Linked DNA regions of Mus musculus. The protein of the gene in region 7 interacts with the protein of the main gene of each other region in a biochemical or structural test. Links are inferred from orthologs where the notes say so. Each region holds a gene or a part of one and is shown on either strand. Other genes may lie near its edges. The genes, in order: Fgf8, Nedd4, Fgf6, Plcg1, Ncam1, Fgf4 and Fgfr1.

Region 1 (4,174 bases), on a different chromosome or scaffold from region 7:
GCTCGGCATTCTTTCCTTTTTCTTGTTGGGAAGCCGAGAAGGGCAGCAAGCAGCCAATTTGGAGGGACAAAGGGCCTGAAGGCCAGCTCTGCCAGCCCAGCGGGGGGAGCTCGGCCACCAGGCAGGCTGCCCCCACCCCCACCCAAAGAGTCCCCCCCTCTGGTCTCCTCGGATCGATCAGGGGAGCCTGGCCGTGTAGTTTACAGAGACTTTCCCAAGCAGGCTTTTGGAAAGCTTAACATTTTCGAACCTATTCTTCCACCCCAGTGACAGATTTATCCCAGGAAAATTATGTCTCCTCCTCTAGCTTTGAAGGGAAGTCAGCTATGTCGATGCTGAAAAAAAAATGCAGCGAGACATACTCGATCCCCCAAACTGGCTCGAGAAGAGGAGAAAGTATTCAGGAAACGTTAAAAAAGGTGAAAGTAAGAATAGTTTTAATCGCTCTGCCAGACGCGGGGGTCTCTCCAGAGATTCGCAGAGAACAATCCTGAGCCTCTCTCTCTCTCTCTTTTTAACATTTACAGACTTGCAACTCCTTTCAAACTCTACATCTGAAAAAGAAAACGCCTGGTTCTTTTTCTGTTTTATATCATTCTCCATTTTTCTTCTTAGCTCTTAAAATGCCTCACCTTTTTATTACATTTTAATAGAGTTTTCCTTTCTCCTTTCATGCTCGCTTAAGTTGGTCATTATTTAAAGGTTTTTAAACTTACAATATCCCACTCTCTAAAAACAACACCAGCCACCCTGAGGGTTTGGCTTCCTTGTGGTACATCCAAGGAGTCTGGAAATTGGCCCCATTTCAAGACAAGAATATTGAATGTTGTAGAAATCAATCAGTTCTCAGCCCCTGCCCCAGTAGCTCCCTGTACTCAGCAGCCCTGCGGGAAGCCGCCAGCCGACTCAGTCCCCTGGGGTATCCACAGTGGAGCCCGGAGTCTAACTTGCAGGCCGAGTCTCCCTGTGCAATTGACCCTTCTGATCAGTTAGCAGTTCTGTCCCTTTTTCAAACTGGGCGAACTGGGGGATTTCTCTACTTTCTTTTTCCCACTCTCCTTTTGTGGGCCCTGGCGACATATCCTCTTTCAAGAACTCCCCTTAAATTTGGGCCTCTCCTCTGAACCCTCTGCCTCCACCTGCAGCCGGGTAGAGGTGTGTGAAGATTGTAAGGGAGACTCCTGGATTCATTCATTTGCGGAGCAGGGAAGAGAGGGCACCTGTTGGCCTCGTCCTCCCCAGGGTCCCTTCCCCACTATTCTCTCCAGCTGACCCCAAGGCACCTTTTCGTCTTAACTCCTTCCCTTCTCAGGTGGAGAGCCCGCAGGCCTTTCTGGCTGATGCAGCTGGGGCTGGCAAGGGGCGGCGAGGTCCAAGCTACCTCTCCTCTCCAGGGTCCGGGAATGCACCTTACCGAAGGGGTCTCCGTCTTCTGCCATGGCGTTGATGCGCTTGTTGGCCAGGACCTGCACGTGCTTCCCGCTGGTGCGGCTGTAGAGCTGGTAGGTCCGGATGAGGCGGCGGCTGAGCTGATCCGTCACCAGGCTCTGCTCCCTCACATGCTGTGTAAAATTAGGTGAGGACTGAACAGTTACCTTTAGGAAATTGAAAAATACACAGCACGCCATTATAACGCTACTCCGCCCAGGGGCCCCGAGTTGGTCCCCATTGCCCTTGTACCCGCCTCCCGCCGCGCCAGGCAGCCAGCGGGGACTGGGGGCATCCCCACAACATGCCGGCTCAGGCCACCAACCCCCTCGGGGAAGTCGCGCAGACCCAGCCCAGGATGGATGGATGAACCCGGGAATGAGGGAGTCTGGACCCACCTGTTGGGAAACACCCTGGGGCTCCCGGCCAGCTCGGAGCAGGGAAGTGGGCTCCCTGCCCAGCGCAGGCCCCCCGCCCGGGCCTTCCTAGAGGAGCAGGGTGCTTTTAAGTAGCGAGGCAACGCTACCCGACCCGTGACATTTATAAAGACAAATTTACGGAGCAAATGTTGAGAATGCAAAGGGCCTAGGTTAACACGATCGTTGGCCCAAACCGGCCACAGGTCTCCCCAGAGAGCAGCGGCGAGGATATTCGCTGCAACTACATCCCAACTACCCTTGACAAGGAACACCCGCTGACTCCAGCTCCCGCCTTCCTAGGAGGCCAGGTGTGGCTACAGGTAGCCTTCCCATCCACCCGAACTGGCCAGTCGCTGGGCTCAAGACCCTTGGGTTCTAGTCTCTCCACTCACTCGCTGTGTGACTTTAGGCAGGACACTGTCTCTCTGTTCCTTAGATCCCTCCTCGGGGTAGTTTGGGGCTGGATTTGTAAAGTTCTTTCCAGCCCTGCTGCGCTGGCCGAAGGGTCGGTCCTCGTGTCCCTGCCCGAGAGTGTCAGCTGGGTTCCCCGCGCCCGGCCCCCGCTTCTGCGCAGCGCTCCTTACCTGGGCTTGGAGGCAGAGAACCAGCAAGTGCAACAGCCTGTGGGAGACAAAAGCGGGCAGGAAAGAGGCGCGGGGTGAGCGGAGAGGGCTCGGCGGGCGCTGGCCGACGGGGACGCGGGGGCGACCGCGGTACTCACAGGCAGCTCAGCGCGGAGCGGGGGCTGCCCATGGCGCGCGGCCCCGGGAGCACTGAGAGCCCGAGCGGGGTCACGCCGTCCCACTGGAGGCCGCGGGGGGACAAGCCGAAGGTGCGGAGGCTGAGGGAGGTCGGGGTGCGGGAGGCCAGCGGCTATCCCGACGCGGCTCGTGGAATGTCGTGCTCGCCGCGCGCGCCGAACCCCTCTGAGCCGCTGCTGGAGCCGGTGGCCGCTGGCTGCTCAGGAGCCCGAGCAGGCGGGAGGGTAACGGGCCTGTGGGGTGGGTGGGGAGGTGGGAAGGGAGGGGGAGGGCAGGGGCGGGGGGCGCCGCACCGGCCGCGAGGGGGGAGCGCGGGGCGGGCGGCCGGAGCCCGCACCCCCGGCTGGGCGCTGGGGCCGGGTCGCCGCCCGGGGCGGGGGCGGGGCGGCCGGGGGCGGGGCGGCGGGCAGAGCAGGGATTGGGGGGTCTGGCCCAGGGGAGGGGTCTAGGGACCCGCGGGAGGGGCGGGGGCGGCTGGTGTGGGCGCCTCCCACTACCCTTGCCTGTCTCTTCCAGCGTTCCGGGGGCGGGATCGTCCAGGGATTGGGGGGCGTCTGGGACAACATGTTTAGTGGGGTCCCGTACACTTGAGTCCTGCAGGACTGTTGATCTGCTTAGGGTCGGGTCTGCTTATCTCTGGCCTCCTAGAAGGTCTCTGGGTCGCCTAATGTGTGCTGCGGTCGCACGCGCCCCTCTTGGGAGCCTGCAGCTAACAGTGAACTGGGCCCCGGTGCTGAGCGTCCCCTTGGGCGCCACTGGAACCCGGTGCCTTCACCTTTCTAAAAACCCAACCCCGCTGGTTTTCTGTCTCACAGTCTCCAAAGAGGCTCTGGGAGGGAGAAATGCCCCTTGCCACCCCATTATCACCTTCAGCCTTGCTCCTGTCCATCCAACTGCACTAGTCTATAAAGCTTAAGAAAAACCTTGAAGCGTCTATGTGGTAAGAGCTCAGGGGTCTCTGAAGGACCCACAGCCACTGCTTCTGAGCAATTAGCAGGGGCAAAAATAACTACGTTCAGCAACATTCAGGACACGGACCCAAGCTGCCTAGCCTTTCCCCTTCTGAGTTCCAGGTTTTCCTTGAGCAGGTACCTGGTGTCTTGTGTCACTTGGAAGAGGGAGGTGCTGGTGAGAAGGTAGAGACTTCTGTAAGCCTTTTCAAGCCCGTCGCCCCATTGCTTTCTCCATAGGGTTTCTGGGAACCCTGAGCCACTATTTTGTTACCGCAGGCACAGAGATTTCCCAGGCCAGGTATTTTTGAAGACCAGGTGGCTCCGTGGATGTACCACCCAGCTCTGCCTTCATCCACAGCCTCCCCTCTACTGATCCTCTGTGCCTCCGGGGTAGAACTAGGGGTTTGCGGTGGCCCCAGAAAGTCTTTGTAGGCTAAAGAGAGGCAAGCAGGCCCTTGTCAGTCCCCATCCGGTTCGGCCTGCCGCCCCCCTTTTATGCATCCCATCTTGCAAATGCAAACACGGAGTAATATATATATATATATATATATATATATATATATATATATATATGGTTAGGGGAGTCCATCTCAGCCCTTCAAGTGCTGAGCAA
Region 2 (3,983 bases), on a different chromosome or scaffold from region 7:
AACTTCTTAGGTTTCTTTGAATGTAGACTCTGTGAGTAACATCGACTGAATTGGCAGAGTACTAATGCTGCTTTAAGGACCCAGCACTTTGGGGAAGAGAATTAAACCGATTATAATGTTCCAAAAACTGTTTTAGAAAAATTTTGCAAGTGGAATGAATAACTCTAAAACAAAGATCAAACTTTGAAATCTAATCTTCTCTTATCCCCAGTGAAGTAGCTGCGTAGATTAACCTTGGGTGGACACAATGATTATATTTTCCAGATTTCAAAAGAGAGAAAAAAGAGCCCAATTACCTAATTTTCTAACTCCATCTGTCTAGACATTATCTGGATTCCCCCCACACTCCTCCAACATTTAATACAGGCATTGCCATGAAAAGAAGCAAGGTCCCTTCACAAGAAAGAAATAGAGCACGCCAGCCAGCATATGTGTTGTCAATCTAGAGCTAATGTCGTCAGAAAAACAATTAAATTTCCTGGAATTTTGCAAAACCTTCCAAATACAGACATGGTAAAGGCTACTTTAGTTTTAAAGATTGTAAATAATTTGAAAAGGCCAAATTACATAAAATGCCAATCTGGCTAAGATCTGTTAGAGCTAAATTACTAATAAAATAAAGCAACATTGTGAGAACAATAAACTAGTGTAGTAAATTGAAAATTATAGAAACTACCTAGTACGTTTAAGCCAATTCAAACACATAAAACTTAGAAATCAATACTGCTGAAAAAGTGAGTTACATTTTGGGAGACAGCGATCACTGGGAACTCAGGAAAAATAGGGTGCAAACAGCATTCCTGTGGCTAGGGTGTATGTAAATGCAAAGCCCACTTACTTTTCCTCTGCTTGAAACATTCAATATAATAGTCTTTTTGATCAGCGATCTTACAAATACATGTGTTTTAAGAGGGAGAAGAAAATCCCATTTCTGAAGGTAAGAAGAACAAATATCCCAAGATCGAGTGTTATGACATCGAGCCAGTTCTGGAAGAATTTTAGGATTTAAATCACCAAGGAAAGGTTTTTTTGGTTTTTTTTTTGTTTGTTTGTTTTAAAAGTAGTTTATCCATTGGTAAAATAAGAAAGAGCTTTACAAATATAAAATTGAAGCTTTCTAAAAACTTCCTCACTAAGGGCCACAGAAAGGAACAGATAGTGCTATAATCAAGTATAATCAGTATAGCTAAGAATTCCAGGAAGTATTTTTTCAAGACCAGAGGAATCTTACCTTACAAACATCAGACAGTTCATTTGTCAAGTCTCTCTGTCTCCAGAAACTATCAACTTTACCATCATTCCCAGATGCAAACTTAATGAGCAACTGAGATGGTCCCCCCTTTGAACAATTGTGCTTCAGGCTGGATAAGCAGGAAATATTTGGGTATGTCCCACCCAGCGAAACACTTCTTTGCAAAGCAGCATGGCCTTTGCTTATCGGTGAATTTGGTCTTTCCAACTCTCCACGGATGTTTAAATGGTAACCCATGTCTGATGCGGTTGGCAAGCAAGGGGATGCCCTCTGTTTGAGCATGCCATGGTCCAAATCAGACTGCAGCTGAAGTTCTAACCTCTCTGATGTGCAGCCACCACGGGGGTTTGCACAATCTGATGTCGTTGGTTTTTGTTGGGTCAAGTGCACGGAAACACAGGAAAATCCTTCTGGCAACTTCTCACACACAGTTTGTTTGGGCCTATTATTTGAAATGACAATTTTCTTTTGCAATGAGCCCTTGGCATGGAGTGGCCGTACATCTCTGACTTCTCCAGGAGTACAAACCATTTTAGATAATCGAAGCCCGTTGACAGCTGTTGACAGAAAGCCTTTGGTGCCAGATCCATCTTCATGATGTGCAGTTTCAGTAGGTGATACAACCAACTGGTGTGAGGTCTGGTAGGCACCTCTGCTCGTCGGGGATGCTGGTGGGGTGTTTGAAGGACTCCTGGGGAAAATGACCAAAGACGTGCAGCGCTTCAGTGGACCCTTTGCGTTCCTACTCACTGGCAGTTTCATAATCTCTACTCCACGATCCAGGTCCTCCTGGGCAAAGGGAAGTCTACTGGGACTTCCGCACATAACTTCACGGGGTGTAGTGTCGACTGGCACGCTTCTGTTGGAGGCGTTGTCAGAAGGTAAATTTCCACTGAAAAAGGTCTCATAGCCACTACTGTCGCTGACACCACTGCCGGTGGAGGAGCCTCCACTTGCGAGGCTTGCACAAGACCCACAGTCACTGCCACTGCTGCTGTAAGACCCACTGTCACTGGCTGAGAAGTTACTGAGGCTGCCATTGTCCAGCTCACTGTCAATTCCACTGCTGCTGCAAACATCATCCTTTGAAGCACAGGTAGAGGAAGTACTGTCCCTATCAGCCACGACAGTGTCAGATGGAAGACACCCTCCGTATCTGGGCTGCAGTGAGATCTGCAGGCAGCTGCTCTTTTTGTCAGTACTTTCAGAGGATCTATGCTCTACCCACGGAGCCTGTGGCGCCTGTCTGGGGGTCAGCCTCATTTGAACCACACTAGCCACTGAGATCCGGGGCCGCCTCTGGCCGTGTGTGTCAACGTGGCTATCCAAGTCATCTCCAGAGGGTTCCGACAGAGGGTAAGTCTTGCTTCTTCTGGCGGCAAAGTGCAGTCGTAAACTCTGTGCCATTTGTTCTCATTTCCAAGCATGTTCAGGGCTGAGAGTCAAAACAAAGAGCTCTGTCTGTAGTCAGGCTAGCGCAGCTGTGCTGCATCCAGAGGAAAAAACCATCGGCGGTGTTGAAAAAGCTCGTGGGGAGGCGTCTTTAACTTCAGATACCAGATTTCATAGAAAAGGACGACCCATGCCCGAGATTGACGTTCCCCAAGTGTCTAGAATCGCCGGGAGTCAGAACGCCTTCACTGACAAAGCACTTGATTTCCAGCGACCTTTAAGCTGAGCTCAGCTGCAGCCCTGACTCAAACACAGCCAACCTTGTTTCAATTATACCTTCGCCAATTTGCATGAATGAGTAACGCAAGAACAACAAGCTTCTTCAATTTCAACTGGGAAACCTAGTTTTTCACCCCAGCCCTACAAAACGAACATTTAACTCCCGAAATCTCAGTGCCTACAACTTCCCCCGGTGATCCTCACCGCTAATATTTTCACTGAATGCTATAGGATTACAGGAAATGGGTACAAATAAAACCTGTGTGATTGAGTATCAAATTAAAGATTGAATTTCAAAATATGGCCATACTGAGAGATTTAGTCAGGTTTAATGCAGGGACTACGCGGACTGTAATATTTTTTCAGGAATGAGTAAATGAAAACAGCTGAATAACTTGGAAATACAAAAACGTGGGGTGAGGGGCATAAAGCCTAACCGTCAAATTGAACAAGGTAAATATTTTAGCAAAACACAATTATGAAAGTGAAAGTTGACAAACTGAACTACAAAACGAGCCCAGTAACATTGTTGTAAACACCAAATAACCTCCTCAAGGGGAAATTTTTAAAAAAAGGCTGAGGAGAAGCTGTCACCAACCATTTTGTCCTGTAATTTTAACGTTTAATGCAGCCAAGTAGTACAGTCTTTAAATGATGCCATTTATATTTTGACTATTAAAATCCTGCCAAGAAATAGCCTGGGTAAACATTCCATTAAAAACATATGCAGATTAGACAGAAAAGCTACACCCCAATATAGTCTGAACACATTGGATATTTTATTCCACTGTGTGCAATTCATTCACTTAAAGAGAGTGTTGTGGTAAGTAAAGAAGCCTAAAAAGGATTTAACACATCAAATAAACATATCTCAATGGCAATCCTGTTCTCGGAGAGTCCTCTGCGGGCCCTACTGGTGCTTTAAAACAACCCAGGCAGCTGTTAGACACCTATAAAGACAAGACATACAAACCAGGCCACATATTTCATAATATAAACAAGGCAGGCCCTTGTTTACATCTTTGCCCACTAGCATGGCCTCTGAGGTAGAATTACGAGT
Region 3 (3,966 bases), on a different chromosome or scaffold from region 7:
TCTGAAGCAGGTCCTAAAATTCCATGCATCTAGCAGATTACAAAGTGATGGGTGCACAGGAGCGCCCACAGAACGGTACTGGAGAAGCAATGGTTTTAGCTCACACCATAAGCCAACTTTGAGACACTTGCTCAAAAAGTTGGGAAGTAGACACCCTCTGACTAGCTCACTTTAGTCTTTTCCAGATATCCTTTGCTGAGAGATTTCCCTGGGGACCTAGCACTTGTCCCCGGTCAGCTCTTCCCTTTCTATCCCCTATCTTGTTCCCCCAAGTGACTGGAGAATCAGACTCTATGCTCTCTTCTAGTGCATCTGAGGTTCCTTTCTCTTTAGCCACTGCCCTCTCATGTTTTGGTGCTAGGGGCCGAACTTCCCTGCGTTCCCACACATATGAGATCTACCACTTACTAGATCCAGCTTCCTTACTTCTGTCTAAGACATAAAAATTTCATAGACTGTCTTTCCGACACATTTTGAAATAGGCCATGTTGCAGGCCGAGAGCCCTGGAAGTGAGTGGGGCAGAGAAAACAGAGGCCTTAGAGAACACAGTAAATGCTTGCCCTTACACCAGAGGAGAATTTGTCTCTTAGCATTGGTCCTCCCACAGTGGTCTATGGTGTAGAGAGGCGGGGTCCAGTGCCTTCTGGGAAGGTATGACAGAGGGAGATACTACCATAGACTATGGGATCAGAGACCAGAGGCTGTTAAACTCAGCTACAGTCTCTCATCACTAGTGAAGAGGAGAGATAGGCTCCTTCTACAGATCTGTACCTCTCCGACAGTGTCTCCTGAAGGGGTGTCATGGGGGCAGCTCACCCAGGCTGACCCACAGGCCTGCCTTTCTGGGGGTGTCATGGGGGGCAGCTCACCCAGGCTGACCCACAGGCCTGCCTTTCTAGGCCTCTCCAGTTCAGCAACTCAGACCTGATTATGAGCTTGAATGACAGTTTTGGTCAGAATGCAGGCTTCCCTACCCAAGAGCTCTCTGAACTATGGCTTCTTTAAGGGCAAAGGTCTCGGTTGTGGGTTGGAAGAACTACAGGCTTGTGCAGAGGTTTCACAGTGAAACAGAGGAAGTGTAAGCTTCAAGGCACCTTGCCAGCAAAAGCTCCTTTCGCAGCCCTTTCTAATTCTCAAAAAACAAAACCAAAACAAAATAAAACCCCCTCAACTCTCAGTGTTATATGTTTTCAATGGTGTGACCGGGAAGAACCCAGGAGCATCCCCTCACCGCAGAACTCACCGTTGTGTACAGTCTTCCTTTACTGTTCATGGCAATGAAGAGAGCACTCTTCACCCCGAAGAGGCTCACCACACCCCGTTCTACCGTGGAGATCTCCAGCAGGCCTGACGAGGAAACAGAGAACACACTCTCATGCTCACGTCAACCCGAGTACTTCAGAGGCATCCCGCTGTCCCCCTTCTCCAGAGGCTCCACCTCTCCATCACATCTGTCCTTGATCTAGACAGTCCTATAGCATCCCTACACGACACTAGCTGCATCCGGTCACATCCTGGTAGCACATTCAGTTCCTTGTGGAAAAGTTTTTACACTGGAGTTGGAGATTGCAACGGACACTCAAGCATCTATTTAAGATTAGCTTTGCATCTGGGCTTTCCGTAGATCTGTCACCTGAGGTTCTCGACTTGAAGGATTGGAGTGGGGGTTGGAGATATAGCTCAGTGGTACAGTACTTGCATGACATGTCCTGGGTCCCTGGGTTTAATTCTCAACAACACACACACACACACACACAAGCATACACATACACACACATACACACACACCACACACACTCACTCACTCACTCACTCACTCACTCACTCACTCAATCAATCAATCAATTTTGATTATTTAAAGTCTGTTCTACATCCTTCAACTCAGTCCCCAAACACTGCAGCTACACTGAGCCAGATGGCTTGTCTGGGACCCTACAGCCCTTACCCTGCCTTGGCCAGAATACTGTCAATGCAGGCACCTGAAGCATGGCACCAAGGAGATGCTTCAGACGGGCATTTTTCAGACTACTTGCCCTTCCCTTTCAAAAATGACAGCTGAATAGAAACTCATGGTTTTAACCAAGATAGAGTATCATAACTTATCTCCCCTACCAGAGTAGTTATAATTCTTCAGGAAGACCAGATCTGGACCACTAATACTGGAGTAATTAGGATCATTGATGGAGTTACCTGGGATGATGGTTAAGGACACCAAGATGCAAGTAAAGGTCTTACTGAGCCTGCACCTCTTTCTGGGCAGGGCAGGGTGAGATCAAACCATTTAAACGTTACCCAGCACATCTTCCCTTTAGAGTGCAGCCCCACCCACCAGCATAATTTCCCTTCATCTTTTGACTCTGCTTGTGCCCAAGCCAGCAAGCACCCCAACTATCTTCTAGTGACACTCACTGTAGGGGTTCTCCTCGTGTGTTCCACTGATGCGGCCGTCAGGAGGCACCTGGAGGTGGAAGCCAATGCCCACGTTGCAGTAGAGTCTCCGCTGTCGCTTAATGCCCACCAAATAGCCGCTTTCCCAATTCACACCCGAAATCTCTCCAGCTAGCCCAGCTCGAGACCTGGACAAGAGGGTGCCCCAGCCTCTGGAGTCCAGTAGCGTGCCGTTGGCGCGGGCGCCGGCAGGTGAGGGCACCACCATGCCCACTAGGACGCCTAAGAAGACGAGAGCCTGCAGCGTGCCCTGAACACGTCCTGCTCCCCGGGACATAGTGATGAACAGCCTCTGTCCCAGGGCCATCCACCTTGCCTCTCAGGCACGTGGTCAGAATTAATGGCCCTAAAAATACCGCCCTTCTTGTTTTTCTCCCCTCGGCATGGCGGCAGGGGCTTATTTTTGGAAGGCAGATGAAGGCTGCTGACATGAAACCAAAGCCTGCTTCAGGCACTCGGATTGAGAGCAGAAGGACCCAGGCTGAGCTGTGGCCGGTATAGACCATGGCGTGGGGACGTTCTCTAGCCGGCATGCAGGGCTCTGTCCCAAGGTGATTCTCTTTGATTTGACCTATAGTTCAGTAACCCGGCCCTCCCCTTCACCCATCACCACCCTGACGTCAGCCGGCCCAGCTCACTTACCCAGGGCTGTAACATTAACCTGCTCCTGGGCCTGGCTGCTTCCCCAGACCCTCACCACCCTCTCCAGTCCCCAGGGATTCTGAGAGCCACTGTCATTCCAGCTAGAGGCAGGAATGAAGTTAGCAGAGAGCATCTCTGCGGGAGGGTGGAGCTGGCTGGGGGCCCAGGGAAGAGGGAGGCAGAGGCCACCCAGGACCCAAATTGGGCAGTAGCCCTTGGCCCCACTGCACTGGCTTCCTTAGAGGGCAAAGGGTAAAGAAAGATGGGGAGGGCGTGATGGCAGGTGATGGATGGTGGCCTACAAGTGGCTCTCAAGACCTATTCATGGAAAGAGCTCATGGCAGAGAAGGGCCCATCTACCAGAACAGGGCATATTCTGTATTGGGCATATAGGAGAGGGTTTGTCCGGAGAAACGAGGGCTGTGGAGACAAGGAGGGATGGGTCACCTTCTCCTGCTCACCCTTTCTGGCCATGGTCTTCAGTGACAGTGGTATCAGGCTATCCCCCTGCTTCAGTTCACCATTGGCCTCTAATAGCATTCCCACTTAACAGTTGCAAAAGTCAAGTCACAAAGAAGTTACGTGGCTTGTCTGAATTACTGTGGGCAGGCAGTAAGTAGAAGGGTCAGAACCTGCAGATTCTGCACAGGTCCAGAGGCTGTTCAGGACATTGCTTATAAATAAATTTTCAAGGACCACCACGCATCTTCCTTATTATTCCTTCCTTATTATAAACCATTGAGCAATCGTTTCACCAAGACAAAACGTTCAAATTCATTGTGTGGTTGAAGATGCTGACCTTGATCTTCAGAACTTGTACAGCAGGAATGAGCGAACAAGCCTGGTTGTATGTGGTGCCGGGGATTGAACATGGG
Region 4 (3,500 bases), on a different chromosome or scaffold from region 7:
CACAATGCTGAGGATTTTGTTAGTGTGCCCCGGAGGGCAAGGTACTGAAAGATCCAGTGGCTGGCAGGCTAGACCCTGCCTGGATTTAGCCTGGAATGAAAAGAAAGATTATAAATAGTGGAGCCCCTGAAGGAGAAGACTACAAAGAACAGTGTGGGGAGTGCCTGAGTAGGCTGCAGCTAAGATCGGGAACGGGAGGAGGAAGGCTGCATTGGCCATGGGGACGTGAGATGGTAAGGTCGTCTAAGGCACACACATTGCCAGGTGGGCTTAAGGCCTTAGTGCTTCAGGGAACCGGGAAGCAGTGTTTTTGCTGAAGGACGAGGCTAGGTAAAGAATAATCAGAAAGCATTATTGGGAGGGCCTTGCCGACCTTAGCTCCATGTGAGGTCATTTGGCACTTAAGTTATGGTGAGACTTCCACCCCAAGAGGGTTGGGGAACAAGTGTATCTGTGGAGACGAAGAAAGAGATAATTTTTGGCCAAAACTGGGAGCCAGTAGTTTTGTTTAGTGTCTGCTGCTATTTAAAATGTGCAAGGAGAGAAGAGGGCCTCAGAACACCTGAAGTGTGTGTGTACCCAAGGCTGGTAGGAGCTTCCTTCTCCTGGGCAGGGCTCAGCCTGGGCCTTGTGTGTGTCACCAGCTCACTGAGGGAAAGATGATGGAGAGGAGGAAGAAGATCGCCTTGGAGCTCTCCGAGCTTGTGGTCTACTGCCGGCCCGTTCCCTTTGATGAAGAGAGTAAGGCTGGGGCCAGGTGTGGTGTGCATGTGCTGAGGGGCTGGTGGCTTGAGAGTGGCGTTTAATACCCTGTCCCTTACATACACTACACAAGGGGGCCGCTCTATACACGCTCTCACTGTTTGGCTCAGAGATTGGCACAGAACGTGCTTGTTACCGGGACATGTCCTCCTTTCCGGAAACCAAGGCTGAGAAGTATGTGAACAAGGCCAAAGGCAAGAAGTTCCTCCAGTACAACCGGCTGCAGCTCTCGCGCATCTACCCTAAGGGCCAGAGGCTAGACTCCTCCAATTATGACCCTCTGCCCATGTGGATCTGCGGTAGCCAGCTTGTAGCACTCAATTTCCAGACCCCAGGTGAGGGGGTCTCTGTGGGTGGGGAGAGACACTTAGGGCAGTTCCACTGGAGCACACTGTAATCCCACTCTTGCAGACAAGCCTATGCAGATGAACCAGGCCCTCTTCATGGCTGGTGGGCATTGTGGCTATGTGCTGCAGCCAAGCACCATGAGAGACGAAGCCTTTGACCCCTTTGATAAGAGCAGTCTCCGAGGTCTGGAACCCTGTGTCATTTGCATTGAGGTGAGTATATTTGTCTGGGTTCTTCAGGGTGGGAAAGGGTTATGAAGACCATTGATACTAAACCTGCTAAGAAGGTGGCGACCAGGTGGGTCAGCACAAGTGGGAAAGGGTACAGGGCCAGAGGTGAGCAGCATTTCTGCTTTACATTGGGGAAGAGAACTTATCTTGGTCTATTCCTGAGCTTGAAGTAGGACCACCTGAAGTGGAAATCCAGCTACAGGTTCTCTGTGAGGTTGGGATCCCAGGGGTAGCATGGCTGATCATGGCCAGTTTTTGGCACAAATGAGTTAGGATGTCGGGTTAAAGCTAACCTGTGAAAAGTCACTACCTGGAAGGAAAAACCTGGTCAGAATGACACAAATCAGGCTAAAAGGGGCCTGTGCTGAGCCAGGCTCCTGTCTGCAGGACCAAGCAAAACCTGAGCTTGCTAGAGCATGACCAGCAGCCTGTTTGCCTTTCCCAGTTCCTAGAATAGAGCTCCCCAGTCCATGTCTGGTGAAATGCTGTGATCAAGGGTCAGCTCAGCCTTCGCTATGGGAATCAGCAGGGGTGGCCTGAACAGTCTGGAAAGAGTAAGAATAGTCTATGGCCAGCTGAGCACACTTAGGAGCACAGAGCCACAGATGGACATGACTGCTACTTTCCAGATATTCCCTCTAAAGTGGAATAATTTAAAAGATTCCCACATTGGAACAGACATGGATTTAACATGAAATGGACTGCCAAGTACGCATGATACTTAGCTAAAGCTCAGGGTTTTACAGCCAACAGCTTGCTCTGGAGTGAACAATGAGCGGCCTAATGGGCAGCACCTTCAGGGCCCAGCAGGGGGCATACTGCCTCCATGGTGCATTTTCCTCCACGATTTGCTCCCCAAGCTTCTGCTGGGAGGATGTTCGGGGTGCTGGGGGGATGTCATCACCCCATCTCTGCCTGCCTGCCTCACAGGTGCTGGGGGCCAGGCATCTGCCGAAGAATGGCCGGGGTATTGTGTGTCCTTTTGTGGAGATTGAGGTGGCTGGGGCTGAGTACGACAGCACCAAGCAAAAGACGGAGTTTGTAGGTAAGTCAGTCTTCCCTCATTACCCATCATTCCCCTGGGGTGTTAAAGACCTCTCCACCAGTCATCACATCCCGTAGATGTGGCCTCAGCTTTTGCCCTTGCTTTCACAGTGGACAACGGACTGAACCCTGTGTGGCCTGCTAAGCCCTTCCACTTCCAGATCAGTAACCCAGAGTTTGCCTTTCTGCGCTTTGTGGTGTATGAGGAAGACATGTTTAGTGACCAGAACTTCTTGGCTCAGGCTACTTTCCCAGTAAAAGGCCTGAAGACAGGTGAGGAATCTTCCTTATAAAGTCTTGCTGTCAGGATGGGGCTTATCCACTTGCTTGACACTTGATAGGCTGAGAGCCAGGTATTTCTCTTAGGATATAGAGCAGTGCCTTTGAAGAACAACTACAGTGAAGACCTGGAGTTGGCCTCCCTGCTCATCAAGATTGACATTTTCCCTGCTAAGGTAACTACAGCAGCGTGAGCAGAGAGTTCAGTCATAGCCCCTGAGATGCAGAAGAGACCTCAACTTTTGTGCACTTCCCTTGCTGAGCAGGAGAACGGTGACCTCAGTCCTTTCAGTGGCATATCCCTAAGGGAACGGGCCTCAGATGCCTCCAGCCAGCTGTTCCATGTCCGGGCCCGGGAAGGGTCCTTTGAAGCCAGATACCAGCAGCCATTTGAAGATTTCCGCATCTCGCAGGAGCATCTAGCAGACCATTTTGACAGTCGGGAACGAAGGTGAGGGAGATGAGGGGAAGTTAGCCAGTGTGGGACCTTGGAGGAAGGGTGCTGGAGCCAGAAAGATCAATCCTTTGGCAGCTTTCTCCTCTGTGGAAAAGGGATAACCGTGTGTCTTGGGTTGTCCTGTCTGGCTGCAAGGCCAGTAAGGACACTTCACTTCTGTTCAGGGCCCCAAGAAGGACTCGGGTCAATGGAGACAACCGCCTCTAGTCAGACCCCACCTAGTTGGAGAGCAGCAGGTGCTGTCCACCTGTGGAATGCCATGAACTGGGTTCTCTGGGAGCTGTCTACTGTAAAGCCTTCTTGGTCTCACAGCCTGGAGCCTGGATTCCAGCAGTGAAGGCTAGACAAAACCAAGCCATTAATGATATGTATTGTTTTGG
Region 5 (4,037 bases), on a different chromosome or scaffold from region 7:
CTCTACAGCATTTGCAGCTTAATGACGGGGGATATTCATATATATCCTTCTTTTATATCCTTCCAAACCCTTTGGTCTGAATTCTCTAGATTTTTTTTTAAGCTGGTTAAAACAATACTTTAATTGAAAATTCTCTTTGTAAAACCACTTTCTTTTGTTAAACAGGCTGGTATGTGCTTCTTTCTCTTCGTCCTCGCCGCCTGGGTTTAGGGGCAGAATAAGGATTCTTTCGTTCCAGGGAACACTGGTTAGGATGCCAGTCTTGCCTGAGCATCCAGTATCACGCCACTGTAGGATTCCCTCCCTCAGCTCCCACCAGGATAGGAACACTGAGGGTTACACCCATCTCCATTATGGAGAAGACCACAAGGAGATCCTAAAAAGACGCATCATGGAAGATTAGGTCTCCATTGTCATGCTGCTATCCAGAAGGATGGTCTCAGTAAACACACCCTAAGAGGAGGTCACCCACAGCACCACAGGGAAGGGCACGCCTCTGCCAGTCCAGGGCTTGGTGGTGGCGAGGACCCATTTGGCACGCCCTGTCAAGACACGCCCTACCACACCCCGCCACGCCCCTCCACCCCAGCGTCTAGTCCTTGGCCAGAGGGTCAGCGCAGGCGCGTCTGCTCTCCGGGACACAGCTTGGGAGCTGCTGTCTTCTGCACTCGCAAGCGAAGCGCTCCGTCGCAACTGTGCGCCATGGACAGGGAGCCTGAATGCTCCAAAGCGCCAAGAAAGAAGCACGAGTGGGCGAGAATAAGCTAGCTGGACCAAGAGATGTCCCAGGGCCTATCCTTCTCCATTTTACGTCCTCGAAAACGGCCGTGCAGCTAGGGGCAGTAACAGGGCGGGGTCTCTCCCAACGGGAGGCGAGCGAGACCGTTAAGCTAGAACACCCGGGGACCATCCTGGCAGCTTGGGCGCCACCCGCGCCGCAATAAAAGCCTCTCGCGGCTTCCCGCCCAGCCAGCCTCGCTCTGATTGGTCGCCGATCAGAGTTGGCTGGAGGCGGTGGCCCAGCTCTGCTCTCTTGCTGCCCTCGGAGGGGGGCGCACTGGGTGCTCCCGGGGCCGCTCTGTGGGCTCCACACCCAAGGCTTAGAGATCTGGACCAGTACAGCCACACCAGGCAGAAGCCACAGCCATGCGCGGTCTCCTCCGCCTAGCCTGCTTTCAGCTGGTGCTTGGCAGCACACGCCCCCCCCCCGCCCCAGCTGTCGGCCCATCCCACCCAGCTCTCGGCGGCCCCAGTGCCCTTTGCTTCCCCCTCTCCCAGTCCATTGGGACGCCAAAGCACAAATCCTTGGGTGGGGTAGGGGCAGCAGCTGGAAGGGAGGGTGGGCACACTGAGGAATTTTCCAGGGAAAGCCGAGATGGAAATAGCCAAAATGCAATGCGCCCCCTTCCCGAATGCTAAGGATCTCTGGGCGGTGGCACAGCCCTCGCCACCCGCGACAGCGTCGCTACGGTCTTTCTCCCGAGCTCCCCATTGTTCACACTTTGCCAGGATCAGGAATATCGCCCAGAGAAAGGAAGAGGTGTCTTGGGCAGCTGGCTACCTGCCATTCTTCGCTGGCACCGTGCAACCCTAGGCTCTCGGTGCGTGTAAAGGCACACGCGCGCACACGCGCGCGCACACACACACAACCAGGCAGCCCCGATCACGCCCTCCTCACCCTCCGCCCCTCTGCACTTCCTCCTGTCAAAACGCGGCGCTGGACCCTCCCATCCCTCCGTGCTCCCGGCCGAGGGCAGGTTTTGCAACTACCCAGCAATTTGGCAAATGAAAAACTAACGTCATTTGCACGGGGGTGCAGGAACGACCACAGGGCCCTGCGGTGCTGCCGGTGGTTGCCCCATTTTGCAAACCGTTATTCGGGGCGGGGAAGACGGGGGAGTAAGCGAAGGCTGCAAGCCTCACTTTACCCCAGCCCGGGACATAACGGTGGGGGTAAAACTGCCCCAGCCTTATTGTTCACTCTTCTCGAAGCTTGACAAACACCTCTAGGTGAAAGATGAGCCTGGGGGGCGACACCACCCGAGCCACGCATCCGCCACCCGCCTTCGGGGAAGGGGAAAGCAGCGCTGCCCATCACGGCAGCATCCCGGTCCCCATACCCCTGTCCCACCTCCGCGGGCACACAAGTGGGAAGGGCGTGCGCGGCCGCCACTGAGCGGGGAGGCAGCCGCGTCCAGCGCCGTCCCGGAGGGCACGGGTTTGGCTGGCCAAGCAAGGACGATACGATGCGCTCCCTTCTCAGCTCAGTGAAAATGCTGTCTTTGCTTTACACACAAAACCAGCCAAAAGAACCGGGCTTCTCGGGGATAGGGAGAGAAGACAGGGGCAAGCGGACAATTAACAGACCCGATGTAGATTTTTTTTAATTAAATTAAATTAAAATGTACCTGCAGTTCCCAGGAAAAACAAAGTCCAGATGAGATCCTTAGTTCGCAGCATTGTAAACTGCCGGCTGGGAGGGATGTTCTGGCCGCGGTAAATTCAGTGCCTTCCCCTTGCAAGCGACTGTGGACGGCGGCGGAGCAATGGACCGAGGAGCAGACAATTGCCAGGCTGGGTATGATTATTTTTGCAGAATTGTTTCTTGCCAGCCACTGCCGAGCTGCGTTCACGCGCTGAGCGGAGAATGAGTGACAGTCCCAGCCTCAGCACACTCGCAACTCGGAGATCCCTGCGCTGGCCCGGGTTGGCTTTGATGGAACTGGGGATGCGAGCGACGGGCGGGGGGCGGAGGTGAGAGCCTCACTGTGTCCTTCCACCACGCCGACCACAAATAGTTCCTAACATCCAGGAGGTAAGAGACAGGGGAGGCAGATGCGGCTGCCTGTAAAACGCGGCCTGGAGTTACCAAGGGAGCCGGGCTCTTTCACAGGGAACCTTCCAGGCAGAGCTGGGATTTCTTTTCACCCTTTTCCTTCATTCACGTCTTTGGAGATCATTCTGCCCTCCGGCGTTCCTTAATCAGGAATTTGAACGTTTTTAATAATTAGGGGGAAAAAGAATTTTAGATTCGGTTCGATTTTCAAAGTTGTGGACACCCCCCCCTCCAGTTTAGTTACTAAAGTCCTTGCAATAAAAAGCATATGGCTGCTTCTGCTTCTTCTTCTTCTCCTTCTTCTCCTTCTTCTCCTTCTTCTCCTTCTTCTCCTTCTTTTCCTTCTTTTCCTTCTTTTCCTTCTCCTCCTCCTCCTCCTCCTCCTCCTCCTCCTCCTCCTCCTCCTCCTTCTCCTTCTTTTCCTCTTCCTCCTAAGAGAAGGAAATTGGAAATTTGGAGAGAGCTGAGGGCTGTGGAGGTTTGTTTTGTTGTTTGTTTTCTCCTGGCTATGAAGTTCATCTTCCCACAGAGGGAGCAACTCACAGCAGCACAACTCAGATCTCAGAAGTAGGGGGTGGGGAAGCCAGTCAAAAGAAAATGCAGAGCCATTTATAAGTAATATTCAGGAATAACCAGAAACTGGTATTGGGATCCTCCCTCTCTCTCCCTCCTTTGCCCTGGCTCTTCTGTGTGTATTAAGGCACAGGAGCGACAGCAAGCATCCTCCTTCAGCGGGAGACCTCCACTCTTAAGGCTATGAAAATACAATATGACTGAGATATCAACACAAAGACTTCCATTAATCAAGCAGCCTTGTTTGTTAAAAGAGGGGATGGGAACATAGTGAAATCAACACTCTTTAGCACCTGAGTGGGGCTTGAGTTGTGCAGGAAATACAAGTGAGGGTGCTCCAGAAGTGGCTCTGCTCAGTGAAGCCCTCTGACAGACCAAAGAGCCAGTTCACACACAATCCCAAGCCCTGCAATGTTCTTTAAAGGGCAGACTCCTTGATGCTTTAGCAGTCAGAAAACCCACCTTCTGCTAGCTGACCAGTCACCATCCAGCTCTCCTTTCCTCTGTATAATGTACCCAGTCCTATCACATGCTGCGGGTTCCAAGGATCCATGAGAAGCAGTCTGTCTCCCAGGAATCTTTCATGTTCACTTTTTAAATTTTTGCCTTATGGTGATTATAAACAATT
Region 6 (4,219 bases), on a different chromosome or scaffold from region 7:
GGGCAATGATCTAGATCTGATCCAGCCTGGGCCCAGCCCCAGAAAGGAACACCCAGGAGTGCCCAGACTAAGGCCTGCAGCCCTCCTCCAGTGACACAGCAGGGGATCTAGGGAACCCTGTTACAGGAAGGGATGTTTCTCAGCAGGGTGTGTGTATGCATGCTTATGTGTGTACATCCATGAGTGTGTGTGTGTGTGTGTGTGTGTGCGCGCGCGCGCGCGTGTGTGCGTGCGCACACGTGTTCGTGGGAGCCTGTGCACAGCTGACTTTGCTCCCTAGCAAGCAAGGCCAGCAGCAGCTCTACCTGCCACTGGAGGATGCGGTTATCCCAGGCTGCCAGGTGCATCAGAATGCCTCATTAAGGGATTTGGAGACATGGTGTAATCCCCACTAAGGGATAGATAGATGCTCAAGTGTCTCCTCTAGGTCTCAGGACCTGGCTGCATTTCCGTTGGTGTTCTGAGTAGGACCAGGAATGATTGGTGCAAGCCCAATGACAGAGGTTTGGCAGAAGGAAGCCACAGCTCCCAGAAGCTCTGGTCCAAATTACTGATTCCTCGGTGAGGGGGTGCAGCAGGCTCTTCGGCTCCTCCATCAGTGGCCAGGTCACCTGCTGGCTCCAGGTTCCTCAGATACCACAGAACAGGGACATTCACACCTAGGAGAACAGTACCAGGGTTCTGCCCAGTTCACCCCCATCAGGCCAGAATGGCCACAGTTGGGTGTGGGGGTGCTGGTGGGGGAAGGGACCCTTCCAGATCCTTAGAGTTTGACATGCTCCTGGGTTGGGAAGTTCTGGCCTCCACACTTGAAAATCTCTGGGGAACTGATGCCCAATGTCTTGCCAGCTTTCTGTCCTTGCCTTGGGTTACCTAGGAGGAAAGTGCGGGTCTCTGCTGTCCCTGAATGTCCTCAACCTGAGTTCTCTTAGAAGCACCCACTCCGTAGTTTAGACTTCCCATCACCTGGAAGACCCTTAAATTTCCAAGCCTCTGGGGCCAGACCAAGCCTTGCCTCCCTCCCTCCGATCGTGCCCTACCTCCCGGCTCCCTTAGAGTTACACCCTGATAGCCAAGCCACAGTGTGACTTGCCTCCCACCGTCAGCTCAAGCCAGTCCTTGGCGCAGCAGAAAGGTTCTGGCGGTTCACCAAGTGTCCCGCAAGGAAGGAGCACAGGAGATGCCCTGGGGAGCAGAGAGCCAAGGGGCGGGATCAACAGGTTCGAGTGCGGGGCGGAGCCAAGAGTAAGGGGTTGGGGTCTCTCCAGGTGACAGTAGCCACCGCCAGGCCCGCGCCTCCTCCCCCGGCGGTGATTGGCAGGCGGCCTGCGCCCCGGCTCCCAGGCGACCGACGCCCCGCGGGGCAGGCGAGTAGGAGGGGGCGCCGGCTATATATACCACTGCTCCGGAGGGCTGGGCGCGCGGGGACTATCCCGCCACCGTTGCGTCCCTATTTGCTCTCGCTACTTAGGTCTGTGCGCAGCACTCACCGAACTCACGGCCCGCAGCTCGAACTCACGCACGGCCCGCGGGCCGGGATGGCGAAACGCGGGCCGACCACAGGGACGCTGCTGCCCAGGGTCCTGCTGGCCCTGGTGGTGGCCCTGGCGGACCGAGGGACCGCCGCACCCAACGGCACGCGGCACGCAGAATTGGGGCACGGCTGGGACGGCTTGGTGGCCCGCTCGCTGGCACGCCTGCCGGTGGCCGCGCAGCCCCCGCAGGCGGCGGTCCGCAGCGGCGCAGGGGACTACCTGCTGGGCCTCAAAAGGCTTCGGCGGCTCTACTGCAACGTGGGCATCGGATTCCACCTGCAGGTGCTGCCCGACGGCCGCATCGGTGGTGTGCACGCAGACACGAGGGACAGTGAGTTCTGGGCGCGCCGAGGGGATAGGGTCCCGGGCAGTAGTAGTCTCGGGGGCTGAGTAGAGTCGAGCTCCCACCCCTTGGGCTCCAGGACTGAGAGCGCACCCGGCGGCCGAGCCCCGCCTCCCGCCTTCGGAAGCCTGGTCTCTCGGTGCGGAATTCCATCGCCTTCACCCGCCCGCACCCACGGGAGCCCGGGACAAGCGCCCAGACTGAGGCTGGACTTGAGGGCCACCGGTAGACAGGAGATGAGCTCTTAAAGCTTGCTTTGGGGACCCTGGGCTTTTCACCCCAGCATCGAGATCCCAAGAGGCTTAGAGTCGGAGGGTCTGTGTGGGTCCAGGGTCACCTAGGCTTTTCTGACCTGCGATCCCTCCCCCCCAACCCCCGCCTCCCCAGGTCTTCTGGAGCTCTCTCCGGTGCAGCGAGGCGTGGTGAGCATCTTCGGAGTGGCCAGCCGGTTCTTCGTGGCCATGAGCAGCAGGGGCAAGCTCTTCGGTGTGGTGAGTGCCAGCGGGTCTGGCTGGGCCACCTGCTCGATACAGTGTGCAAGACTAGCGGGATTGTAAACCCTTCACCCCACACATACACTTGTGTGTTGGTCACAGAGGACTGGCAGTAGGATTGCCAGGTCTCACGTTTTCAGTCAAAGTAGCCAGAGCCAGGCTGGGTTTCTAGACCAAGGGAACTACCCCATCCAATTTCCTCCTGAGTGAGGTACTTACTGATTGGGGCGGGTGGGGCGGGGAGAGGGGTACTCCAGCAGGAGATATTAAGTTGATAGGGGCAAAGCAGGTGAGCTAGCTATGCCTAGCGTGGACTTATCACCTCTTCGAAATCTGGGACAGTTTTGACACTCCGCCTACCTAAGAAAGATCTCTTGGGTCCCGATTGCGGCAGGTCCCTGGCTCACCCAGTACCCTCTTTCCCAGCCTTTCTTTACCGACGAGTGTAAATTCAAAGAAATACTTCTGCCCAACAACTACAACGCCTACGAATCCTACGCGTACCCCGGTATGTTCATGGCCCTCAGTAAGAACGGGCGGACCAAGAAGGGGAACCGAGTGTCGCCTACCATGAAGGTAACCCACTTCCTTCCTAGACTGTGACCCTCCGGAGCCCTGCCTCAGCCTCGGAAGCACACCCTACCCCTCAGGAGGAGCACTTTCTCTCGATGGAGAATTGTTTGCAAAAAAACTGGTCTAAGATATTTAAATTATTTAAATATGTATATATGGACGCCCAATTATTTATAATTTTATGTATTCTCATTTTCGGGGGGGGGGATATGACCAAAAGAACAAACAAATTGCAGCTCAGACCTCTTTGGAATAGCGGAACAGACTTCTTTCTTCACTATCAAAGATATGGGTGTGATGCTGTTTCATGTGTGCCTCTAAAACTTGGTGACATCAGTTTCCAAGGGTGCCTGGCCTGTAACTGGAAAGGCCTGCCTGGGACCTCTGAGGCAGTGAGAAGGACCCTGAGCGTTCCCGATCGGGAGCATTCTGCCGTCGCCGCTCCCTCTGCTTCCTTTGGTATGAACCCTGTCGGATCGGTTTACTCCAGGGACAGAAGTCCTCCCGCCTCTGTTTTTAGATCTCCAAGACTGATCTTTGAACTCTCTTGCAGTCAATCATCTTCTTGGACCTACCGGATAGGAGACCCTTAGACAACTTTATAAACTCCTGTTTGCCATTTTTGGACTGGCCAACAGGGCACGTTGCTTGTAGCCACTGGAACTTTGCTTTTCTGGAGAGGAACTAGGAATGGACAAGAGGGTGTGTGCGCTCGCCACAACTCAAAACTCTGGGGATGAAATTCTGTTTTGTGATAGAGGATGATTTGTTGGGATATAACAATGTATTTTGCAAGAATCAAACTGAGAAAAACAGGCTTCCCTGAATATGGGAAGCTTTGTGCTGGAACTCCATAATTTAAGGGTGAGCTGCCCTTTCCCACCCCAGGCAGCCTTTATGCAGGCAGACTGCAGGAGTCCGAATTCCGGTGCTGCCCCAAGGTGAAGGAATTCTATCCCCATCTACCTCAGAGTTCCTGAGACCCTGGTGACTAAGCTGGAGGCTCTGCTGGGTGCATCTGCCTGCTTCTCTTCCACATGTAGTATCTGGACCCTTGTCACGTTCCAGCTATCTTTACCCAATGATTTACTTTTAGTAAGGGGTATTCATGGTGAAAATATGCACGACCAGCTGTCGGAGTGCACTATATGGTCACCAAGTCAAGTAACCCTTATATTTTTCTTTATATATTTTACGAATGTAACCCCTGTCACTGAGACCAAAATGGAAGAGCAGGGTCGGTGGCATTTAAAAAAAAGGGCTGAGGTGAGGGA
Region 7 (3,500 bases):
ATATCACACAGAAACCCCCGTTGCTTCTAGTTGACTCTGGTCAGACCCGTCCTCCTCCTTCCCGTGCTCTTGCATGGAGGAGCTCCCCCTGCAGGCTGCTTACCACAGCTGCCCTTTGACAGTCGCCTTCAGATGTGGTTACAAAATCCTAACTTGCAAACAAAAGGACTTGGTAAGTAAGGCCAGGTAAAGCTTTCCCCATATTCTTTCTTTAAAAAAGGAAGGAAGGAAGGAAGGAAGGAAGGAAGGAAGGAAGGAAGGAAGGAAGGAAGGAAGGAAGGAAGGAAGGAAGGAAGGAAGGAAGGAGAAAAAGAACTGGTGGTGGTGAACACTTTTAATCCCAGTACTCAAGAGGCAGAGACAGGCAGATCTCTGAATTCCAGGCCAGCCGGATCTATAGAGCTAGTTCTAGGCCAGCCAGAGCTACACAGAGAAACCCTGATTGGGGGTGGGAGCGGGGAGAACAAATAATTAATAATGAATAGAGAAAGAAAAAGATTGTGTGTGTGTGTGTGTGTGTGTGTGTGTGGGTGTGTGTGGGTGTGTGTGCGCGCACATGTGAGTGTAGGTGTCCACAGAAACCCTGAAGCTGGAGTTATAGGTGGTGGTGAGTTGCCCGAGGTGAGTGCTGGAAACCAGACTCTGGTCCTCTGGACCAGAGTAGAGTGCTATCTGCTTAATCACTAAGCTGCCTCTCCAGCCATCCCCTCTCACTTTTCTTATACAGGAGCAATGAACAGCCATGCATGGTGGCACATCTCTGTGATCTCAGCACATGGAAGGCTAAGACAGGAGCAGCAATGGAAGTTCAGGCCAGTCTGGGGCACATAGAGAAGGAACACAGTAAAAAAAAAGTTAAAAAGGTATGAGAAAAGAGACATATTTGGGGACCTTGGAGACTCATCAGATCTCTAAGGAAGAGATTCTCATCAAAATGTTCTTCCTACAAATACAAAGGACTTGACCCCCCGGAGGGAGAGGAAGCAGCTTATCAGCATAGGAAGTGCCTAATGGTATCAAAAAGCAACACAAACGTGTTCACCCAGCTGTACTTCTTGGCAAATGTCTAGTGAGTCTGTCATTCGAATATTCTGTTACGGAAGGTGACTGGTTTTTCCTTTTAGGACTTGGGGGCTGAAGATGAAACTCAACAGTGCAGGCTTCTAACACCCAACAGGGAAGCGGAAGCACTGGGGAAAGGCATGGGAGAGAGGGAAATGGATTATGGGCACTAAGAGCTTAAAACAGATCTACCCCGTCGGATCTGACAATTCCACTTCCAGGAATCGGTCCTGAGAAAGGTCCTTTAAAAGTGCACAAGAGGACCAGTCGTGGTGGCACACGCCCCTCTTTTATCCTAGGGCCCGGATTGCAGAGGCAGGTGGATCTCTGTGAGCCTGAGGGCAGCCTGGTCTGCATAGTGAGTTCTAGGCCAGGCAGAGCTAAGGAGAGAGTGAGACCCTGTCTCAAAAACCAAAGGGAGGGAGGGAGAGAGAGAAAGGAAGAGAAGAGGGAGGGAGGGGAGGGTGAATGGTGGCCTGTAAGGTGACTCAACTGGTAAAGAAAGGGACTTGTGACCAAGCCTGCTGACCTGAGAGCGATATTCAGGACCCACCTAGGTGAAGGAGAACTGAGTCCTCCCAGTTTTCCTCTGATCTCCACATATGCATATCCTCCCGCAAATAAAAAAATTCTAAAGTAGTAAAAATCAAAACACTGCAATTCCCAGGAATCTGACACCCTCTTCAGACCTCTGTAGGCATTAGGCACACATGTGGCACATACATACATATATACACACACACACACATACATACACACACACATACATACACGTGAAACCATTATAAAATAAACTTTAAACTAAAACAACAACAACAAAATCTCACCTTTACAAAGGCAACCAAAACAACAACAAAACCCAAAGTAATCATAGCAGATAATAGAGACTTGCTATCCCAGTCCCCGCTCTAGCGCCTTACTCTAACTTTTCTTTGGTATGTACACACGCGTACCTTGTAGCCTCCAATTCGGTGGTCAGGCTTAAACTCTTTGCCATTTTTCAACCAGCGCAGAGTGGGGTTGGGTGTCCCACTCGACGGGCACTTGAACTTCACCGTCTTGGCAGCGGGCACCGCATGCAGTTTCTTCTCCATTTTCTCTGGGGATGTCCAGTAGGGAGCTACAGCTGTACAGGAAAAGCCAAAGGAGACGAATGAGGGCAGCAGGGGCGGCCAGGCTCAGAAGCCAGGGCCCAGGCAGGACCCCATGCCTCCCGTCTACCTGTTCAGTAAGTACCCTAGGTCTTCTAGAGAGGCAGCAACCAGGCACCATGGCCCCCAGGCCCTCTGAGCCTCTCTCCTCCCACTTTAGCCAGGCCTTCCTCTAAGTCCCAGCTCCCAGTCTCGAAGGCAGTAAGATAGAAAACAGTGTCTCACGCCTACGGTTTGGTTTGGTGTTGTCCGTCTCTTTCTCCTCCGAGGAGGAGTCATCGTCGTCGTCATCATCTTCCGAGGATGGGAGTGCATCTGTGAGAGGAAGGAGGGGGACTGAGGAGCGTCTAGACCTCCATCCAAACAGCATTCGCCCTGTCTAGACAGACCACCTCACTGCGGTCAACGCGGTGACATGGATAACGCAACAGCCGTCCCATAAGGACTCCCAATTTTCCTGAATTTTGCCTCAGTGACAGTTTGTGTTTAAGAGCTGTGTGCTCCAGTGCTCATCCCGGCCCCAGCGCACTGCCTTCTGCCTAAAAGTTCAGATGGCTCTATCAGGGCCAGCTCCTTTTTTTCCCCCAAATTTATTTAATTCCAGCCTATACACCAAGGCCACTCAGCTAACAGTACCACTTGGGTATCCATAACAGCAGCTGAGGAATCAGTATTCTCTGGACATCAGCCTTTGAGAAACCCAGGCAGATCTAGACACCTGGGCCTTGAGGCTACTTCTAAAGCCTCCGGCTGACCAGCCTGCAATCAGAATCTTCTGGAATGAGTTTCCTGAGGGCTGGAGCTGCCTGCTTTCCTTTCTCTCTCTCTCTCTTTCCCCCAAAGATGTCTTATTGTTTTTAAAACTTATATGTATCTATATGAGCCTGTGTGAGTATGTCCCATGTGTATGCAGGAGCCCAAGGCGGGTGGGCCAGAACGGGGTGCCAGATCCCCAGGACCTGAAGTTACAGGCAACTGTAAACAAGCTATGTGAATGCTGGCAACCAATTCCACTCTACAAGAGTGTCAGGCTCTCTTAACAGCTGGGCAATCTCTCCTGCCCCAGAGCTGCCTTTTTGGTGGATGTTTTAAGACAGGGTGTCTCATGATGTAGAGATGTAGACAAGGCTGGCTTCAAAAACAAAACTCAAAAACATACATCCTGTAGAGTGCAGGGACTAAAGGTGTACACTACTATGCCGGCTATAGCTAGCCTCACTCCCCAAATGGGATGCACTTTGTGTAAATACAGGCTATGTTCAGTAGCTTCTTTAATCCCAGCACCCG

What was found.
Region 1: the proteins of Fgfr1 (region 7) and Fgf8 interact in a biophysical measurement, tested with the Homo sapiens proteins (2 studies listed by BioGRID and IntAct, with this or other methods). The link is inferred for Mus musculus from reciprocal best matches to the Homo sapiens genes FGFR1 and FGF8.
Region 2: the proteins of Fgfr1 (region 7) and Nedd4 form a complex in vitro, tested with the Homo sapiens proteins (2 studies listed by BioGRID and IntAct, with this or other methods). The link is inferred for Mus musculus from reciprocal best matches to the Homo sapiens genes FGFR1 and NEDD4.
Region 3: the proteins of Fgfr1 (region 7) and Fgf6 interact in a biophysical measurement, tested with the Homo sapiens proteins (2 studies listed by BioGRID and IntAct, with this or other methods). The link is inferred for Mus musculus from reciprocal best matches to the Homo sapiens genes FGFR1 and FGF6.
Region 4: the proteins of Fgfr1 (region 7) and Plcg1 form a complex in vitro, tested with the Homo sapiens proteins (4 studies listed by BioGRID and IntAct, with this or other methods). The link is inferred for Mus musculus from reciprocal best matches to the Homo sapiens genes FGFR1 and PLCG1.
Region 5: the proteins of Fgfr1 (region 7) and Ncam1 form a complex in vitro, tested with the Homo sapiens proteins (2 studies listed by BioGRID and IntAct). The link is inferred for Mus musculus from reciprocal best matches to the Homo sapiens genes FGFR1 and NCAM1.
Region 6: the proteins of Fgfr1 (region 7) and Fgf4 form a complex in vitro, tested with the Homo sapiens proteins (2 studies listed by BioGRID and IntAct, with this or other methods). The link is inferred for Mus musculus from reciprocal best matches to the Homo sapiens genes FGFR1 and FGF4.

Annotation. Positions count from the first base shown.
Region 1 is NC_000085.6:45,740,085-45,744,258, forward strand, and holds the start of Fgf8 (fibroblast growth factor 8 isoform 2 precursor), read right to left. Parts: upstream 2,801-4,174; 5' UTR 2,601-2,800; coding exon 2,569-2,600; intron 2,469-2,568; coding exon 2,432-2,468; coding exon of another isoform or gene 2,240-2,431; intron 1,914-2,239; coding exon 1,827-1,913; intron 1,596-1,826; coding exon 1,415-1,595; intron 1-1,414. UniProt on the Homo sapiens protein: Plays an important role in the regulation of embryonic development, cell proliferation, cell differentiation and cell migration. Required for normal brain, eye, ear and limb development during embryogenesis.
Region 2 is NC_000075.6:72,692,115-72,696,097, reverse strand, and holds the start of Nedd4 (E3 ubiquitin-protein ligase NEDD4), read right to left. Parts: upstream 2,801-3,983; 5' UTR 2,660-2,800; coding exon 1,232-2,659; intron 1-1,231. UniProt on the Homo sapiens protein: E3 ubiquitin-protein ligase which accepts ubiquitin from an E2 ubiquitin-conjugating enzyme in the form of a thioester and then directly transfers the ubiquitin to targeted substrates. Specifically ubiquitinates 'Lys-63' in target proteins.
Region 3 is NC_000072.6:127,014,376-127,018,341, reverse strand, and holds the start of Fgf6 (fibroblast growth factor 6 precursor), read right to left. Parts: upstream 2,801-3,966; 5' UTR 2,757-2,800; coding exon 2,411-2,756; intron 1,349-2,410; coding exon 1,245-1,348; intron 1-1,244. UniProt on the Homo sapiens protein: Plays an important role in the regulation of cell proliferation, cell differentiation, angiogenesis and myogenesis, and is required for normal muscle regeneration.
Region 4 is NC_000068.7:160,758,810-160,762,309, forward strand, and holds part of Plcg1 (1-phosphatidylinositol 4,5-bisphosphate phosphodiesterase gamma-1), read left to right. Parts: intron 1-644; coding exon 645-741; intron 742-872; coding exon 873-1,097; intron 1,098-1,173; coding exon 1,174-1,322; intron 1,323-2,270; coding exon 2,271-2,385; intron 2,386-2,495; coding exon 2,496-2,657; intron 2,658-2,750; coding exon 2,751-2,839; intron 2,840-2,929; coding exon 2,930-3,114; intron 3,115-3,500. UniProt on the Homo sapiens protein: Mediates the production of the second messenger molecules diacylglycerol (DAG) and inositol 1,4,5-trisphosphate (IP3). Plays an important role in the regulation of intracellular signaling cascades.
Region 5 is NC_000075.6:49,796,270-49,800,306, forward strand, and holds the start of Ncam1 (neural cell adhesion molecule 1 isoform 3 precursor), read right to left. Parts: upstream 2,801-4,037; 5' UTR 2,461-2,800; coding exon 2,409-2,460; intron 1-2,408.
Region 6 is NC_000073.6:144,859,967-144,864,185, forward strand, and holds the start of Fgf4 (fibroblast growth factor 4 precursor), read left to right. Parts: upstream 1-1,419; 5' UTR 1,420-1,538; coding exon 1,539-1,866; intron 1,867-2,265; coding exon 2,266-2,369; intron 2,370-2,798; coding exon 2,799-2,975; 3' UTR 2,976-4,219. UniProt on the Homo sapiens protein: Plays an important role in the regulation of embryonic development, cell proliferation, and cell differentiation. Required for normal limb and cardiac valve development during embryogenesis.
Region 7 is NC_000074.6:25,556,759-25,560,258, reverse strand, and holds part of Fgfr1 (fibroblast growth factor receptor 1 isoform 1 precursor), read right to left. Parts: intron 2,529-3,500; coding exon 2,439-2,528; intron 2,189-2,438; coding exon 2,016-2,188; intron 1-2,015. UniProt on the Homo sapiens protein: Tyrosine-protein kinase that acts as a cell-surface receptor for fibroblast growth factors and plays an essential role in the regulation of embryonic development, cell proliferation, differentiation and migration.